Linked DNA regions of Caenorhabditis elegans. The protein of the gene in region 1 interacts with the protein of each later gene in a pairwise test. Each region holds a gene or a part of one and is shown on either strand. Other genes may lie near its edges. The genes, in order: ifo-1 and B0303.7.

Region 1 (10,146 bases):
TGTTGCATTCAAATATTTTTATTTAAGACTGTTTAATTTAGAACATTTTAAAAGTGTTTTTTACTATTTTTTGGTACTGTTGCAGTAACCATAATCAAGTATAACGATATGAAAACTTTCAAAACGAACTGCTCAGCCAGTCCACAAGCGGCATACTGTTAGTTTATTTCGGCAAATTTTGTCAGTTCAATTTGAAAATTTATTTATTAAAAAAGGATTAAGAACTCACCCAAGAGAATGCCCATCGTTTTTAGTGTTATTTCTAGTGTTATACCAAGTCAATTCAGATATTTCAAAAAATGCAACATTCTCTGATGTGCCTTCTTCTTTTCTTTGCTTTGCTCTCCAAAAATGACTAACGAGTGGAATGTTATCTTATCAAAAACTGCATCATTCAGCATTTGACAAGAGTTTCACTGGCGCTGAAATCAACATTTTCACTTCTCGACTCTTCCTAACTTTTTTTCTAAAATTGCTCATTACTTCTATAGATTAACTTTTTAGTTTTGATTTAGTTTGGGTCAACAAAAATGAGTAGTATTCGATACAGGAGACCACCAATCATAGAACGAAGATATGAAAGAACTCCATCATATTCGGTAACTTCAAGAATATTCGATTTCAGTAATAAAACTGTTTTCAGACGATTCCAAGGGATATTCATGTCTCATTCTACCATAATAACTATCACAGATCAAAGATTTTGTATTTGAATAAGTTCAACGCAATGGAAAAATTAATTGAAGCTGCACACGAATTGTATCCATCAAATGGTGTTTATCGTCTATTTTCGGGTGAGTTTTTTGAAATGAAAAAATATTTGTAATAATTTTTTAATAGATAGTACAATTGGTGCTCAAAACGAGTTGAATGATTCAGTGCAAGTTATGGAATGTGTTCAAAATCCTGATCATATTCTTCCACATCTACATATAAGACTGGAAGGTAAGATTTTACGGAAAACTTTTTAAAAAACAGTTCCATAGTCCTATTATAACAACCTTGTTAGTTCTTTGTTAGATAATCTTACAATTTGAAAATTCAATTATTCAAATTAAGTTTTTTTAAAAAAAGGAACAATGATCTTTCAAAGTATTTTTTATTTTCAAATTTTGAGAAATTTCAAGTTGTTTTGCAAAGGTGTGTTCTTATGTAACTCAAAACTAATAGTAACAAAATTTTTAAAAATTTAATTTTTCAGATTACCGTCCCAGAAGCATAAGCCGTAATTATCACGAAGTTAACGTTCCAATAATTCGAACTCCATCTCAACATTCAATCCATCAATCTGTTCGATTCAACGATAACAAACGTCATCACCATCATCATCATCATGATTCAATAAGAAACTTCGTCCATCATGACACTCCATGCCGAAACTGTTTCCGTATAATTGTTGGAAGCCGTTATCACTGTCTTCAATGTCCAGACTATGATATTTGTGGAGACTGTGAAAAAGATTTGGTTCACTACGAGCATGCTCTTCTACGAATTGTGACTCCAAGGGTTACAAGTATTCCTGATTATGTCACAGTTAACGCCCCAAGTTACATTTTCCCAGAACATCGTTATGATATCAAAAGAGAACATTATCATTGGTTTTAAATTGTATTTTATAGTTTTGTTGTTTTTCCTATTTATGTTGTGAACTTAGTTTTTCTGTCGGATTTCTGTCCTATCTTGTTATACTTAAAAAGACCAAAAAAGTTATGTAATTGCAGAAGTGCAAAAAACCAAGACGCATCCTCCATTCAATTTTAATTTCCTGAAATCTATCTCGCAAAAAAAAAAACAAAAAAAAAAATTCCCTCTTATTTTGAATTTTAAAATTAAATTTTTCTTGTGCTTTTCAGAAATCTGTTCCAATTGAATTTTCATTCCTATTGACTTGTAGGACTAGAATTAATAACACCGCGGACCACCTTTATTGAGAATTTCAAAAACATTTTGTAGGCCATGTTTCCAATTTTTAATTGTCTTAAAATTAACACAATGTTTCAAAATTTCTATTTTAATTGGCTCCATAGAACACTTTTCCATGTAATTAGAAAATGCCTACCTGCCTGACACCTAGAAAGTGACCAACGCTTACTGTGCATTGAAAGCATGCAAGTAGGCATTTTTGCATGCGTGGGAGGTTTCTACAACTCAGCCAAAGCAGTCTATTGTACCTACCCATTCCTTATTTATTCTTCCGCAATCACCAATGACGCGTTCATGATTTTTCACTTTTTCAAAAACAAAATTTGATTGTCACTGCCCTTATTAACTTTTGCCCACGCTTATTAAATTAGTTTCACTCCTGCAATTCAAATCCTACTAAAACCTCTCTGAAAATGTTATTTCTCCTTTTTGTTCAATAAAACTCAAATTTGAACATATTCTGATTCTGAGTTACACAAATATTTTCAGTCCCTTCAACCTATCATAAACTTTGATATTTGCTCAACATTTTGGAGAAAGCGATGAAGGAGTCAAAAACGGGCGGCCCCGTTGCATTCCTCCTCCAAACGCACCAAAAACTGATAAGATGTTGTTAAGAAGAAGAAGGCACCAAAGAAAGATTCTCTTATCACATTTTTTGGCAGAGAGGGAAAGAATTGCGCCTATTTCAGTTGATTGTTCACCCACCATTTACTACACTATTCCAACATTTTTATTGACTCTTTTCGTTGGAATTTTCCATCGAGTTCAAGGAATACTACTTCCACTCTACCTTTTCAAACTTCTTTGTTGTTTGCTTAATTTTTTCCTAACTTTTTCACGACTGAAATTACGAATTCTCAAGTTCAACTGTCCGTTGTACAAAATTCGAATACGATTTCAGCATGGGAGACCTACAAGTCGACTTGAATGCAGCACTTGTAGCCGTTAAACAGAAATGTGTGGACTTGGATGAACAAATTCGAAGAGAGAATGATGTAAGTTGTGTTCAAGATCCATAGAAAATGTAAATTTTCTGGTTTTTTCAGAGATCAGAAAATCGCGGACGTGGATATCTGGGAGTTCGTCGATACATCTATGCATTGACCACCAAGAAGAATGAGGTCTGTTTTTATTTTAAAAGTGTTTTTTTTTTGAAAGAGCTGGCATTAATTTTATTTTGGACTAATTTTTCAAAATTCCGCAATTCGCCTACGATATTTGCAACTCATTGCTCTACTTTGACAGCTCTCGGTTCACTTTGGGTTTATGTTATCAAAAAATTGCCAACTGACAAAATACGCGCATACTATTTTTTCTATATTTTGCTTATTAAACAACTGTTATAAAAGACAACCAAGATATAAATAAAGCAGTTTGGGTGCAAGTCTAATAGTGAAAATACGGTAAATGTGCACTTAACTTTTAATCATTTTTTCTGATTTAATTTCGATGTTTCACACAAAAACCACAAAACACAAAAGTTTAGTATTTTAGAGAAACTATGTTTTCCAAATTTCGACCTCAACTTTGACTCATTCTTAATCCCCTCCTACCTTCCAAAAATTTAATTAGTCATCATAATTGCGGATTGCAAATGCCACAGTGCGTAGTAAAATATCAAAATTTCGGCCGCAATCACTGATAACAGATGCCATTTCTTTTTGTTTAGAAGCATTGTGCAAGTGTCATAAAATGAGAAGGAAGTAGGCGATTCGGGGTGATGATGACGTGGCAAACATTGAAAGTATTTTCAGAACCATCTACAACGACGTGGGCGATCTTTGACAAGGGTGTACGTGGAACAAAAGTTTTACAGATCTGTGAGTTTTTGAAAATGAGAAAGTTGTTTTTGTTATTTTTGGGTTGGGTACAAATTCGTATCATTCTGAAGAACAGGTGTTATAATGCTTTGATAAATCGTTAATACGATATTGAACTTTTCAAGACTATTTTTGAAGACTATTTTAGAAGATGATTGTGCATTGTACATAGAATTACCAATGTGATAAACTGTATGTAAAAAAACTACCAGAAATGTTTTAATGCTTCATCTATTTTTTGTTTTTAAAAAAACAGCAAAAAAGGTTATTTCATAGTTCAATATTTATGAAACAAATAGTAAAAGAGTGCAAACATTTAGAATTAAAAAACAACAAAAATGCAGAAAATAAACGTTTTCGATATTTAAGTTTTTCAAATAAAATCAACGAAATAAATATTCATAATTCCTCCTTTCAGAAATCTGTACCATCTCCGGATCAAGTTCAACGCCTCGAGGATTGCACACAGGATTACGGACCAAATGATGAAGAACGCCTGGAATACGTGGAAACTGTTGATGCTCCATTGGAAGAGCTCATTAAAGAAGATCAGTCTCATCGCCATGTCGTCTCACAAAGACTTCCACAAGGGCACGGAGAATGGGATCATGAACTTGCAGTTTATGAAGAAGATGGTGGTTCTGGGCTTTTGGAGGATCGAACACTGACTGTGAGAGCTGGAGATCATCCTTTCGGAATGAATCAATTCAACGAAGTGGCAGAGGATATTAGTGCAAGAATCGCCAAGTTTTTTGCTGAGAAAGAAGAGAACCACATCAGAACTCGTGAGCTTTCTCTTTCAGTTCATCCAGTTTATCATCAAAGTAATGGAGATGCATACACTTCATTTGGAATGTCCAGGTCAAAATCAATGGGATCAGTTGCTCACGAAGCACATCAAACATCTAACAATCAACATAGTTCTGAAACTCATGGAACTGCTTCTTCAACTCAGTCACGACCACGTTTGGATCAAGTCTCTTCCACTACAAAGTCCTTAAGCAATTTGTTTAGTGTTGACACTCGTCATGACTACAATTCTCGATATGGAAATTATGTATCTGGATATGGACATTATGGAACACCACTTCCACCAGCGAAAAATCAAGAAGTAATGCCAAAAATGCCAGCGAAGAAGTCGGAGCACATTTATGATGAGCCAATTCATAGAACATCTACCACAAATGTGTATTCAAGCACTTATGAGAGAAAATATGACTTCAAGTGAGTACCAAATCTGTAATTGATTGCTAAACTTTTTTATAGAACAACATTCCCACCAGAAATCGAAATGCCAGAAGGATATCACGATTATTATGATCCGAGCAAGTTCATGTTCTTGGATGCAAAAGGTTATTATCAGGTGAGCAAAAAAAACTTGAATTGGAAGACAATTTTTGAATACTTGACTTGTAAATTTAATAGAACCAAATTATTCTCAGTCCATCCAATTTTTTTCAGGGCAACATCACTCGCCCACTTCACTATTCCTACTCTCGTGACTATCTAGAAAAGTACTCGGACTACGACGGAACATCACGACTTCCATCTCCAGCTCCTCCAAAGACCCCGGAGCCAGCATACACTGTGCTCAATAGATCAGAAGATCTCCCACATCACCCTACCCATTTGTCTTTCTCGTTCCCAGACTATTACGATCACGCCACTCAAATCATTCTCAGTCGTGATCCTGGACTTGAACATATTCCATATAAAATTGGGCCATTTGCTGATTACTATGACAATGTTCATCGTATCATTCTGTCGCATACCAAAGATTTGGATCATTGTAAAATTGTAATTCCGTCGTTCCCAGATTACTATGATCTGTCAACTAGATATGAAGTGCTTCATCGAGTTGAAGACATTCTTCATGAGCCAATTGTGATCGAGGAATATCCGGCATATTGTCCATATGAAGACACGAAATATGAAGTACAAGAGAAATCTGTGACATTGGACGATGAGCATATATACGAGGAAGTGTATGAACCTCCACTACCTCCACTTCCACCTCCAGCACCACCAATAGTTGTTCATGTTCTGAACTACACTAGAGATCACGATCACATTGTATTCGTCCCATTGCTTCCTTACATTCCACCACCACCTCCACCTCCAGCAGAGATTATTCACGTTGCAACTCCAGCTGAAGTAATTGAAGAAGAACCAGAGCCAGTTCCAGTGCCAGCTAAACGTCATTATGATGATCTTTATATCGGAAATGACGCTCTTGATGTATCAGTGTCTCCACATTTTAATCAATCCAATGATCAAAAGAATTTGGGATTAGAAAAGAGTGTCACTGATAGAGTTAGAGAAATGGAAAGAGCAATGAGAGGAGAAGAAAGGGAAAGACTTTTGGAAGAAGAAAAGCGAAGGAAATATCTGGAACTTCAGAATGAGATTAAGGCAGCACGGGAATACGAAGAAGAACATGCATATGAAGAGATTCAAGAAAGTGAGTTGACTTTTGATTGAATAATAAGTTAAGAAGCAACGATTCCGCCATAAAAGCAAAGTTGATACGTAGAATAGGTTGTATTCAAACGAAATATGAAATTTCCAATCGAATTATAGAAACTTCTACCCCATCTTCACCTTGTAAGATTAAATGTGATAAAAGGAAATTACCAAATCGTGAGTGTGTTGTAGAATTTGACTAGAAATGGAAGATGAAATAGATAATAGTAGTATAGATTTCCCTGCAATCTTCGGTGAAAATGACAGCTTTTTGAATGATATCAATAGCTAAAATTCCCATCATTCCCACCAAATTTTTACTGTTTCAGGCAAGAACACTCCTTGTCCAGTATCACAGCCTATTCTTATTCCATCGGTGTTTGTCCCAGTGGCAGTTCCAGAACCTATCCCGGAGAAACCGAAACGAACATGGCAGCCACCTCCAAAATCCGAAGAATTTTTGGACGAGCATATTGACAAGCCACTTGGCCCTGTCATTTTCCATGAGTTGATCTACCGCAACGGATTTTTGCTTAAAATGAATGAAGAAAATCATATTCTAAGTCAAACCCGTCCAGTCAGTCATCCAGTTTCTCGTGCCAACTCTCGACCAACGACGCCTGGATTAGAGATCAAAACTATCGATTTTCCACGTCTCGATGATGCCGCATCCCCAAGAGATCACTCTGATTCTGCTGGAAATGTTGATTATGTGCATAAACATATCGAACGGTACAATGCGAAGGATGGTAATGATCTGATTAAAACTGTTTATATCTAAGAAAGTGTATTTTCAGCCTCTGTTGTCCAAGATTCTCACGACGAGAGTCGAGCTCATTCGCATATGCTTTCAAATACCGTCCAAACTCATACACATTCTCAATTAATCAATCAGAATCAGGCGACTCATTATGATGCTTATGCTACTTCTCAACACTCGAATGCTCAAGAGTATTCAACTGTTCATGGATCACAAACTCATCGAGGAAGTGTAGTATATGATGAACCACATGGACAAGTTGTCTATGATATTCCACACGATCAAGGTAAAATATTTAAATTATAATTGAAAATATAAAATTTTCTGTTTCAGAACATCACCATTATGACACTGTTCACGTTCAACACCATCATCATCATCATTATCATACAGATGGCAGTGAACATGTTCATCACTATCATCAAGATGAAAATGCTCATCAACACAGTACAGCTGAAAATGAACATATTCATCACTATCACACAACATCAAATGAAAATGCTCACCATCATCACTCGGTTCAAAATGAGAAAGATATTCAATATCAGCTGGCTCAAAGCAACCAATCGATTCGACAAATGAGCAAGACCAACAACTGGGATGAACAAAATATTCAATCATCAAAGAGAGCTCACATTGAGGCACACATTCCGGTTAACTCACCATTTGTGAAAAGAGAAGATTCAAGAGTTAGCACCACTTCTCATGTGAGCACAGCTTCAACTGCAACTACCACGGGAACTGTTGTTCAGTGCTCGAACTCGTTGAATCGCCAAAATATTCCAGCTCCATTGAAAATTCAAAACGGAAACTCAGAGTCCTATCACGGTATGACATGTTTCAAAGAGGTGTTTCTATAAATCTCGTAATTTCAGAACACAATCATCACCAGCATGTGCATTTTGACAGTGTTGAAAATTCGGAAAACATTGCTCATCAATGTAAATCAACAACTTCCTTGGACTACCAGCCAGTTCATGTCGGACATGTCAAAAATTTGGCAAAACTTTTCAAGTTCGTAGATTCTTTTTAATTTCTAGATTTTAATTCTCGAATTCCAGTAAGCCCGACGAGAAGCCACTGACAACTGAGCAAGTGATCTACCGTGTCAGTGCTGCACCACCTGGTCATCACTTGGAACCAGGTATTTGACATTTCGTCAGCTGATTCTTTTTAGTTTCAAAATAATATTCAGAGATTAAACCTCGTCCACGTTCTTTGCCCCGCATTCCACTTGATGAGATTGAACTCCATGAGCATGGAAGTAAAGATCATATGACACGTCATCATCATGAAATGCACCAGGGTACTGTAGATGAGCACAGTGAACATGGTTATTCTATTGGTGGTGGTGCACAAAGGATTGATGTTTCAGCAAGAAGTAAGTTTGAAAAATCTAAAAGAATTATCACCATCCGCTGAACGTCTAATAATAAATATTTCTACAATCAGAATTTTCAGCTTCATCAACAGTGATGCACTCTCCACCTGTCCAAGTTCAACACAACTCATACTATCATCGTCAGTCATCAGACGAGGAGTCAATCCGTGTTCGTCGTGTCTACAAGGCCCTAGATGACACTTCAATGCTCTCTCCGGTCTCCTTGTCCGGCGATGGACCAAATTTTTAAATTCCGAATAAGAAACAATTTCATCTCCGTTGATTTCATTGCCTCTAGACTTTCAAATTGATTCAACAATTCTTAATCTTCCGATTTCGGTCAGAAAATACCTGTCATTTTCAATTTTTGTTTGTATTCCTAACATTTTCTAATAAACTTAACTGTGAAGTCCAGCCCCGCCAAGAATAACGAGCATTTCCTTATGAGGCCCAGGGGGAACATTCAGAACTTGACACTCGAAATTACAATGCAATGAGGGCCGTAAGATTATCTTTTCAGAAAATATATTTTTGAACCAATTTCCAGTTTAATGACCATAGATCATTGCATGCCACTCACCGAAAATTGAAATTTGGCAACAAACATTTTGGATCTTCCAACAAAAAAAAATGCATACACTTGTTCATATTTTTTGCAATGTCCAACGTATCCCTTATGACTAACGTGAAATGTTTATATAAATACATTGTTAGTGTCATAGTCTCTACGCCTTTCTTTTCTTTCTCTGTTTTTTCTCTGCGTCTCTTCATCCCATCCACTATTTTCTCACCTCTAACTCTTCCGGGGGCCCCGTCAACAACGGCCGCCTCCTACCCGGTCGCTGGCGCGCTCTCTTTCTCGTATCTTTTTGTTCTCAATTTCTCAAAATCTCTCTATATTTACCCAGTGCTTCTTAACTTTTTTGTCACACGTCTCTCCACAACGAGGAACAGCCGCAGAACAGAAACAGAAACATACGCGTGCGCGCGCGCCTCTTTCTCTCCGTCGGTCTGCCTGAAAATGAGAGGATGCGGGGGGCTTCTCTGTTCCTCTAACTTCCTGCGTTTCTTCATTTGTTGTCTATCTCTCATTTTTGGGTCGCTTCATTCTCTCTTAGTTCCTCTGTGAGGGAGGCTTGATGAATTGAGTGCATTCTCTCTTTCTCTCATTACGAAAAGGGCATTATCCTTTCGAGCTTCATCTTATTGTCTTTTTCCTTAAAAAATTACCTAAGTGGCCCTTTAACTTCTAGATAGACCTTGGATTTAGACTCTATCGTTTACATCCTCTATTTCAATTAAGCAAAATCCATTTTGCATTCCATATATCATATTATTTCTCACAGAAATAAGCTCTTACTCGAGCAAGTTCCCCAATATAATCCGCCTTATTCCCACCAGCAACCGGATAAACCTTTGAGTTCTGATATTTGATTAAAGGCTTTATCCTACTCGACGAAATGGGTTTTTGCATAAATATCCCAGTTTAACTCGGATATAACCTTGATATTTTTATAGAAACCAAGTGTCATAGAAATTTGCCAAGTGACTTTTTTTGTTCATTTGAACTTCCACTTATTTAAATAATTTTTCTTGAGAGGTCAAGTTCTCTGAACGTTATTCCTCTTCCAAAAACTCATTCAACCTAACAAAAATTGCAACAAAAAATTCTTTTGCCACAAAAAACGACATTCTATTTCATTCTTTCCGCTCTTTCGCATTTTTCATTTCGTGCTCCACCAGAAATTTCAAGGGTCCCATTCTCCTATAAATGGTAAATATTTTTGTGTTTTTCT
Region 2 (9,878 bases), on another chromosome or scaffold:
TAAATTCTTTTTATAAAATTTAACAAAAAGGTTGTTTTCCTAAAAAAGCGTGCAATTGCCCGTCGATTAGTGCGCTTTCACGTATCGATTCTCTGCGCCAAGGAACATTTTAACCAACACGCTTCTCTTTATTTCTCTCAGTCTCTCAAGCATCATCTGATTTCATATTATTCTTCACTTTATTCTTCATTATTCCAGACAACACAACTAGACAAAAATGAATGCATTAATTGTTAAATCTGCACTCGAATATTTAGAGGTAAGTTGAACATTTATTGATTTTTTGAACCCTTTTCCCATTTTTTCATTGTTATGAAAAAGTGTCAAATTGAAATTGTTTAACTTCAAATCTAAAAAAAACTATTTTCAGCTAAGCACAGTCGTCGCAATATTAATCATCATAGCATGTGCACTTTTATCATATCAAATCTCTGCTCGAAGGCCTTTATATTATAACTTATTTGTTGTAGAAATGCACACTTGGACAACTAGGAGGATGGTGCAGGTAATTTTATTTAAATATTAAAAGAAAAAAAAAACGAAAAACACTATTGGAAAATTTCGAATAAATTTCTAAACTTCAAAATACAGGTTCTTCATCTCGGTCAAGAGTTCACACCGCCCGTCACATGGGAACGATTAGTTCAACGAATGAGGGCAAGAGCTCCACGAATTCAAGGAGAGCAAAGAGTGGCAATTTCTGATACAAATATTGTGATACAGTCGCCGAATACGGTTATTGATTCACCAGCTCCTGCAAGGTTTACTTTTAAAAATGTATTCAAATGTTTAATATTTCCAATTCCAGATCACCAGACGTTGACCTAATAACATTATGGGACATTGAAATGCCGCCACCGAGTGCTGGTCACGTGCCTGACGCCACAAGGGATAGTCAGTATGCTGCTGCAGCGGCGATAGCAATTTTAGCTAGAGGGTTAGTTTTTAAAAAGTTTAATTTAAGGTTTAAAACATTCAAAAATTCTGTATTTTTCCAGAGACGACGCATCTTTGATGTCTCGAACGTACAGGCCTCAACTTCGTCCACCAACAGAACGATCTGGAAATACTCGAGTTGATGAGTCGAGACCCAGCGTAAATGAAGAAAAAAAATTGATTTTAAAATAATTTATTTTGGTTCAGGAAAATTCTTCACGACATGATTACGTTACTACAGACGTTACGTATACGACTCCATGTAAGTTTTTCATATTGCTTTTTTTCGAAACTTTACCCGAACAATTTTAGCTAAAACTTCAAATATGACATAAAATCGACAATTTAATATTTATTTTCAATTTTTTGTAGGAAAAGCCTGAAAATTAGAGAAGAGATGAAACTAATTCATTTAAAAAATTAGAATCAGTTTCTTAATTTTTTAACAGTTACATTCGGTCATTCCGGCCTTTTTTATAATTAAAAGTAAAATCCCCGCCTGAAAATTAAAAATGTATGGATTTTCAGCAATAAACCCGGATATGCAACATCATCTTTCAACAAGAACGTCAAATGTAACACAAACTCAGCCTCCAACAAATCAAGTGTTCGCTGATACACCAGAGCTTACAGAAGATATTGTGATAGATCAACAGGAAGAAGATGATGAAGAGGATGACGATGACGATAGTTCAGATGATGCAATAATAGAAGATCATGAAGAAGAAGAAGGTCAAGATGATGATGAAGAAACTGAAATTGAAATTGATAGAGGAGGTCCTATTGAAGAAATTGAGCAAGTCGAAGTTGAGCAAAATGAGGATCCGCCACTGGATGATCAAGAAGTAGAAGCTCAACCGGAGCAAGTTCTTCAAGAAACTAAAGAATCCGAATTTCCAGTAATCGAAGGACCATCAGAAGGGAAGATTTTGATAAAGCTAAAGTTTATGAATGATACCGAGAAAAACACGTATGCATCACTGGAGGATACTGTAGCAAAGTTCAAAGTAGATCATTTCACAAATCTTGCGAATCAGGTCATACGGCTCATTTATCAAGGTATCTTTAATTTTTTATGTAAAGTAAAAACAGTTAGTAATGTATTTTAAAGTTTAAAAAAATTAATGAAAACAAATGTTTGGCATTTGGCAAAAAAGCTTTTTAAAAAATATTTCAAAAATGATAAAAAATAAGTGAAAACAAAGATCTAACGATTATTTTTTGCGAATTCCATAAAATTTCTGAAAATATAGAACACAATTTTATTGGCCTATATCTAAAGTATTCGTTGAAAGACACAAAAATGTACCTATCGACCGCAATTTATTTTGTTGATAATTTGATAGATTGGAAAAATTGTGAAAACGTGCCACAGTTGAAAGTTTTATAGAATTCCCAAAATTTAATACCACTGGCTCATAATCCTGAAAATCAAATGGAAAAATGAATATTAAAAAAAACTATTTGAAAAAATTAAAAGTCTTTTCTTCAAGCCTAAATAATTTTTAACTGAATTTTTCAGGCCAACTTCTCAGAGAAGATCATCGAACGCTAGAAGAATATGGTCTTCAACCAGGAAGTATAGTTCATTGTCATATTAGTACAACACCATATACACGACCAGGAATAGCAACTCTTCCTCCAATTGTCAATAATGGTTTTCGACGAAGACCTCGAAGATCCGTCAGAGCTCCACGTGACACAACTCCAATGCCGTCGGAAAGTGTTCCAGTAGTTGATGAGAATGTTACAACAGCAAGAAGAAGAGCTGCGCAGGACAGAAATGTTGGACAGATCTATTTACTTTTATCAACAATGGTTCCAATTCTTTCTGGAATTGGATTGGCATTTTTCCGTCCTGATCGAATTCGAGATCTACTTCGGCCAGCCACACTTCTGACGATTAGCCAATGGGTATGCAATTTACTTGTTGATAATGGATTGTTGGAACAAGATGATGATGATCAGGAAACTCATTTGCAAACTTCAACATTATTTTGGATTTTTGGAGGTGATTCTAATTTTCAAAAAAAAACACGTCAAAACGCAATATTTATTACAGGTCAAATGGTCGCAGTGAGCATATTTCTGTACTACTTTCCAGATGTATTTGATCGAGTCGGCTTTTCGATCTTCATTATTGTATTTCTTTACTTCGTTTTTGTGGTTTATTCACGTCAGCGACGACGCCAACCGGATCCTGTTGAGGTTCAAAATGAAATGATGGAAAATCAAATCGTCCAGGAGACTATTCGTCTTCTGTAAATTTTAATTTATATTTCACAGTGAGTTTTTATTTATTAGGAAAAATAAATTAAATTTACTTCAAAAAAACTTTTTAATTAATTGAAAACGAAAAAGTTATGAATTTATTTTCTTTTGAAAAAAGCTTTCGAAAAAAAACCAGAAATATTAATTTTTGCTTTAAAATTGAGTTTCGATTAAAAAGCTAACAAATAAATAGTTGTTTTTATTCAGCAATAGATTTTTCAATTTTCAGATTCTTGTACACTTCAAATCGAAACCATTATGATTCTAGCCACAACAAAATTGCACACAAAATGGGTATCAAAACACTTGGTTTTTTTTTCAAAATTTTCCACTTGAAACGGATCAGACAGAGGATGAGAAGATCCAAACATACACACATCGAATACTGCGAAATTTTATTCAATAATTCTTATTCCCCCCACCCCGTCCGTGTGTTCTGTGTATATTTGACTCGGTTCTTGTTTTTCATCTTTCTTTTGCATCATCATTAGATACTTCACTAGTAATAAATTGGTAGCTTTTATACAATTGTGGACTACAAAAAATACAGTGCTAAAGGATGTTTGATTGTAAACTTCGAAGAAGGCAGCAGCACAATTGAGTTGAGTAAATATGGAGAAAAGTTGGAGGCAAATAAACCCTTCAAGACCCCCTTTGGATTCACTTTTCCACCCAGATAGATAGTTGCTCCAACATTGAGAATAATGGTAAGGCTACCACCTCCAACGCCACCACGGAAGCCTAATATATGTGGGACATCTGGAAATTCAAATGGAATAAATGAGAATATTGGTAAGTTTTTTTTTAAACTTTATGCTGATTTTCAGATGTTTGTGAGATTTTTAGAGAAATAATTAATTCTAAAAATAATTTCGATGTATTTTTAAATGAAAAAAAAAACCACTTTTCGAAATTATAATTTTGAGATAAATTTAATTAACCTGAAAGCAGGATCTGCGAGCGAACGGCAAAATTCGCAAAAATAGGCGGTAGGCAGGTATGTAGGCAGTAAGGCTAGAGGCAGACACGAAAATGTAAATTCCTACGGCAGCTTTATCGGAAAAGTTGAGACGACTAATTTTTTAATAGTGATAAAGAATATGTGCCTTTCAGGAGTACTGTAATTTTCTGCAACGAAAGTCTGAAATTACAGTACCCCTTAAAGGCGCATATTCTTTTGAATCCAGCAAGCATTTGTCGTGTCGAGACCAGGCATCTATTTTTGGCATATGGGTAATATAATTTGATAAGTTGGAAAATATTGAAATTTTTTTTAAATTTCATTAAAAAACATTTGCTGTCACAATTACCACAAAATTTCCACATATTGTTCATAGATTTTTCGTTTTGGAGCCAAGAAAAGGTTCTCGCACTTGTCAGTATGTAGATAATTATAGGAAATCTTGCAATATACAGTGTGGGAAAGTTCTATAGGACCCCCCCTAATTTGAAGGTTTGAGGAACTTCCGAAAATTTTTTCGAAAAACTGCTAATGCCGTTCGTTTTTAAATTGAAAAAAACCTATATACATTTTTTTCCAGAAGTTTATCTCAAAAACTGAGGTCGCGCTGGAAAAAACGTCAAAATCCAGTGTGAAACTTCTATAGGACCCCCCGTTTTTTTTCACGATTTTTACTAAAATCAACAGATTTTGGAATTTTTGACAAAGCTCAAATCAAGTTTGAGTTAGAAATGAGTTCAGATAAGCAGTTTTGACTTTAAAAATTAATACGAAATGTTCTCGTGGGATCTCCAGACTGGTTCTGATTCTTCCGATCTTTGATGTTCAAGTCTGTTTCAAGCTTCCTGGTGCTCTCGGTAATGCAAAAACTTGATAAACTCTCTTTAACAAGTTCCTACTAAAATTCCTAGCACGCACTTTAGATGTTTCGACTGTGTAGTCAAGCTGATTTGGCAAAATATGCAGCAGGAAACAATGGAAGGCTTATCAGGAATCAAATCGTTTTTCTTTGATTACAAGGTTCCATGGGACCAATATTTCAAGTTAAATTGTCCCTCACAGATGTTATTTACTATTTTTTGCGTGAATTATTAAATGTGGAATTGTGGCATGTGTTGTGGCACACATATAGAGGCTGGAAAGCTTACTTCGAAAGCAGTCTAACTTGCAATGCCTCGAGGATCTGCCCTTTCGGACACTGAACGCGCTCAGCTGGATGTTATGAAATTGCTCAATGTGTCCCTGCATGAAATGAGTAGGAAAATTTCCCGTTCTCGACACTGTATTCGCGAGTATCTGAAGGATCCGGTGAGCTACGGTACATCTAAAAGAGCTCCTCGTCGCAAAGCTCTCTCCGTGCGTGACGAACGAAATGTGATTCGTGCTGCCTCCAACTCCTGTAAGACGGCAAGAGATATTCGCAATGAGCTTCAATTGTCTGCTTCAAAAAGGACCATCCTCAATGTCATCAAACGATCTGGTGTAATCGTTCGTCAGAAACTTCGCCCTGCTCCGTTACTCTCTGCAGACCATAAACTCAAGCGATTGGAATTTGCTAAGAACAATATGGGAACGAATTGGAGTAAAGTGAGAATTTAAAAAAGCAAGAGTGAATAATTAGGATCATTGTTTTAGGTTGTCTTCTCCGATGAAAAGAAATTCAATCTCGATGGGCCTGACGGTTGCCGCTACTATTGGCGCGATTTGCGCAAGGAACCAATGGTTTTTTCGAGACGTAATTTTGGAGGAGGAACGGTGATGGTTTGGGGAGCGTTCACGGAGAAGAAGAAGCTTGAGATACAGTTCGTCAGTAGCAAGATGAACAGCACTGACTATCAGAACGTCTTGGAACTGGAGCTCTCCAAATATCTTCGTCACTACTCCAGAAAAGACTTTAGATTTCAGCAGGATAATGCGACAATCCATGTGAGCAACTCAACCCGCGACTATTTCAAGCTCAAGAAGATCAACCTTCTTGATTGGCCAGCTCGAAGTCCTGATCTCAATCCAATCGAAAATTTGTGGGGGATTCTTGTCCGTATCGTGTATGCTCAGAACAAGACTTACCCAACAGTTGCATCGTTGAAGCAAGGAATTCTCGACGCTTGGAAGTCTATTCCGGACAACCAGCTGAAAAGTTTGGTCAGATCAATGGAGGACAGACTGATTGAGATCATCCGCACACAAGGAAACCCGATTAACTATTGATCCTTTCTTGATTTTAGTATATGAATGTTCTGTTGTTGATCAAAAATAACTGCAACTTGTTAATACGCTGTTTCTGACTGGTTTCTTGGGGATGGCGTAAAAATGTTTATGGTGTGTGTGCTAGGAATTTTAGTAGGAACTTGTTAAAGAGAGTTTATCAAGTTTTGGCATTACCGAGAGCACCAGGAAGCTTGAAACAGACTTGAACATCAAAGATCGGAAGAATCAGAACCAGTCTGGAGATCCCACGAGAACATTTCGTATTAATTTTTTAAAGTCAAAACTGCTTATCTGAACTCATTTCTAACTCAAACTTGATTTGAGCTTTGTCAAAAATTCCAAAATCTGTTGATTTTAGTAAAAATCGTGAAAAAAAACGGGGGGTCCTATAGAAGTTTCACACTGGATTTTGACGTTTTTTCCAGCGCGACCTCAGTTTTTGAGATAAACTTCTGGAAAAAAATGTATATAGGTTTTTTTCAATTTAAAAACGAATGGCATTAGCAGTTTTTCAAAAAAATTTTCGGAAGTTCCTCAAACCTTCAAATTAGGGGGGGTCCTATAGAACTTTCCCACACTGTATATTTTATCTATTTAAAACAATAAAAGAAGAAATAACAGGATGCTCTGGAAAGCTATGATGACTCATGCTCGAATGACGTGTCTTTTTTCAATGATTTGTCGAAATATGTGTCCGAGGTGTGTCTAGTCACAACATACATTCGTCACTTTCTCTCATTCTCTCGGCAAACACAAGAGTTTCCATTGCCTATCTGTCTGCGTTTCTATAACTTATACACTCTCTCGTATTCCTAGTCTTTTTCCTTTTTCTTCCATCCATCGATTTCCCCAGTTCTCATTCTTTTTATTTCTTTTTCTGGCAGTTTTAGGGTTTCTCACGCTCTTTTGTTCGGGCTGGTGCTCAATTTTCATGTCAAAAGGTAAGATTTGAAAATTTATTTACAGTTTCGTATTATCTAAATGTCCTGAGAGTAAGGATTTCTTGAAGACGATATTTAGATATTATATAACTACATAAGTTCTAGCTAAAATTCTGACTCCCATGAAAGCAGGAAATGCCTACCTGCCTGCCTATAGGCCAGATAAAACTTGATTTGAAAAACAATTACGCCAACTTTTTTTATGAACCAAGTGATAACATTAGTTAAGGCTCCATTTCAAATAAACCAAGCTTTGTTTATTTTCATATCCTATCTATTTAGTAAACCATATTTCCAGATACCAGTACCTTCTCAGTCTCAGCCGCCAAGGCATTATTCGAGTCAGCCAAAAGACCAGAGGTTCGGAATGCCGCAATCGCAGCCGCCAAGAATCCATTCGTCAGACAAACAGCTAAAAATGTTGCACAAGATGAGAAGGCACGTGGAGCAGTGTTGAATGCTGTCAAGGACCCAAGTGGTGGAAATAAGATCTCAGCTGCATTTGCAGTTGCTGATGCTAATCGAAAGTCTGATTCAGTTCCACCACCACCACCACATCGAGGAGGAACATCGCCTGGAAAACTTTCTGGATCACATTCTGCAATTAGATCACAATTGGAAAATATGCATATCGGAGGATCGGTGATGTCAAGCAGTGAGTTTTGAAAGATTAAAAAAAAACAGATCAAACAAAAGATTATCAAAATAAAACACTCCGAAGTTTTAGATGTTTCAAAATTTATAGCTAACGTTTTGGTAAATTGCCAAATTTTCCAAAAAGCTTGGATATTCTGATAAATGTCGAGTTAATATCGAGTTAACTGCCGGAAGTAGGCGGAAGGTACAAATGTAAACAGGCAAGGGAATATCTGGAGACATGCCTACCGACTATTTTTTTCTTCAAAAAGTTCTAAAATTTCAGATTCTTCTACTGCAACTCCATCGTATCAATCCAACTCAACATCTTCTTACTCTTCATCTGCACCAGTTGCCCCGCCTCCAGTGCCACGTCATACACAATCAATCCCGTCTTATTCGGCACCAGCCATCAGTACTCCTTATGGAATTGCCAAGTTTGATTACGCTCCGACACAATCTGATGAGATGGGATTGAGAATTGGGGATACGGTTTTAATTTCTAAAAAAGTGGATGCGGAGTGGTTTTATGGTTAGTTGATTTCAAATTAATTTTTATATGGAGTAAGAGGAGATGTTCTCGATTTTTGCAGAAACAATCGCATTAAATGTTTGAAACTTAGTTACTCAATACATAATCTTCCATTGTTTCAGGTGAGAATCAAAACCAGCGCACATTTGGAATTGTTCCATCATCCTACCTTGACATCAAGATCCCATTGAAAGAAGCTTTCACAGCTCTGCCTCCACGACCAGCAGCTCCATCTGGATCATCTTCAGGCACATATGCAACTGCAATCTATGACTATAATTCGAACGAAGCTGGAGATTTGAATGTGAGTTTTTAAAAGACATCTAAAAATATTTGTAAATCTGAATGTTCTTTCAGTTCGCTGTCGGATCACAAATTATGGTAACAGCTCGTGTAAATGAAGAATGGCTAGAAGGTGAATGCTTTGGTAGATCAGGAATCTTTCCATCTCAATTTGTGGATTGTCCAAATCTTTATCAAGTTCCAATGAAACAATCAGCTCCATCATCTGCTCCATCTTATTCTCATCCAATTACAAACAATAGTGGTCCCAAACAAACCGTTACTGTATCTTATGATTACGATTCTGGAGTTGCTTCTGACCTCCGATTATTCGAAGGTGACGTCATCACAGCCCTGGAAGACATTGATGCTCAATGGTTGCTCGCAGAATGTCGTGGACAACAGGGAATGGTTCCGAAGACCTTCTTGGGACCACCATACGGATCTCCAAAGAAGGCACCGTCAAAAGGAATCGCTGAAATTGCATGTGCATTCTCTCCGAAGAAGGCAGTTGCCACTGGTGACTATCATTCCGAAGATCCCAAACATCTTTATGTGACACGTGGCGATCATTTATTGATTGTGGAAGATGTTGATGACTACTATTACAAGGGAAAATTGGAAGCTTTCAAGACTTTGCCAGCGGGTATTCTGCCAAAGAATATTGTCAAATTGGAAAATTGATTCTGGTCTTGATTATTTCTCACTAAATTCACTTTCTAGCTTTATATGTGCCAGTTTTTTGTATTTTCTAATATGTCATTTATTTACAAAATTCAAATTTTCCCCGATGCGTGTTTTGTGCCGATTGTCAAATTTTCTAGAAATGTATTTTCAATAAATTGCCTTATCAAGTGTGGGCCTAGCGTTTCCAATTAACGTTTGTAGATCAATTTCAAATAGCTCATTTCTCTGCGTTACTATAATAGTTATTTTGTGAACTTCCAAAACTTCAGAAAAATGTTAAAGTAAATTTATTGAGGAGAATAATGAATTTGAAGAATTTGTTACAATATGATGAACGTAATATTATGTAGGTTCGATTATTCAAATATTTATACGACACATTCAATTTTAGTAGACGAGAAAAATCGGCTTGGTGCATCCAAAT

The links.
Region 2: the proteins of ifo-1 (region 1) and B0303.7 interact in a two-hybrid assay, tested with the Caenorhabditis elegans proteins (one large-scale study listed by BioGRID).

Annotation. Positions count from the first base shown.
Region 1 is NC_003282.8:7,319,345-7,329,490, reverse strand, and holds ifo-1 (Intermediate Filament Organize), read left to right. Parts: upstream 1-2,827; 5' UTR 2,828-2,828; coding exon 2,829-2,921; intron 2,922-2,972; coding exon 2,973-3,047; intron 3,048-3,680; coding exon 3,681-3,746; intron 3,747-4,164; coding exon 4,165-4,970; intron 4,971-5,012; coding exon 5,013-5,109; intron 5,110-5,207; coding exon 5,208-6,207; intron 6,208-6,538; coding exon 6,539-6,958; intron 6,959-7,006; coding exon 7,007-7,255; intron 7,256-7,302; coding exon 7,303-7,797; intron 7,798-7,844; coding exon 7,845-7,983; intron 7,984-8,030; coding exon 8,031-8,113; intron 8,114-8,164; coding exon 8,165-8,350; intron 8,351-8,430; coding exon 8,431-8,600; 3' UTR 8,601-8,757; downstream 8,758-10,146. Other genes in the region: sqst-2 (ZZ-type domain-containing protein), read left to right, coding at 531-599, 644-794, 841-945, 1,202-1,605.
Region 2 is NC_003281.10:8,689,744-8,699,621, forward strand, and holds B0303.7 (SH3 domain-containing protein), read left to right. Parts: upstream 1-3,878; 5' UTR 3,879-3,911; coding exon 3,912-3,999; intron 4,000-7,201; exon of another isoform or gene 7,202-7,307; coding exon of another isoform or gene 7,308-7,317; intron 7,318-7,615; coding exon 7,616-7,972; intron 7,973-8,239; coding exon 8,240-8,485; intron 8,486-8,607; coding exon 8,608-8,789; intron 8,790-8,842; coding exon 8,843-9,451; 3' UTR 9,452-9,778; downstream 9,779-9,878. Other genes in the region: B0303.4 (transmembrane and ubiquitin-like domain-containing family 1 protein), read left to right, coding at 218-259, 371-505, 592-761, 809-937, 999-1,095, 1,144-1,198, 1,465-1,995, 2,459-2,947 and 1 more; sdz-1 (Skn-1 dependent zygotic transcript 1 protein), read right to left, coding at 9,823-9,878.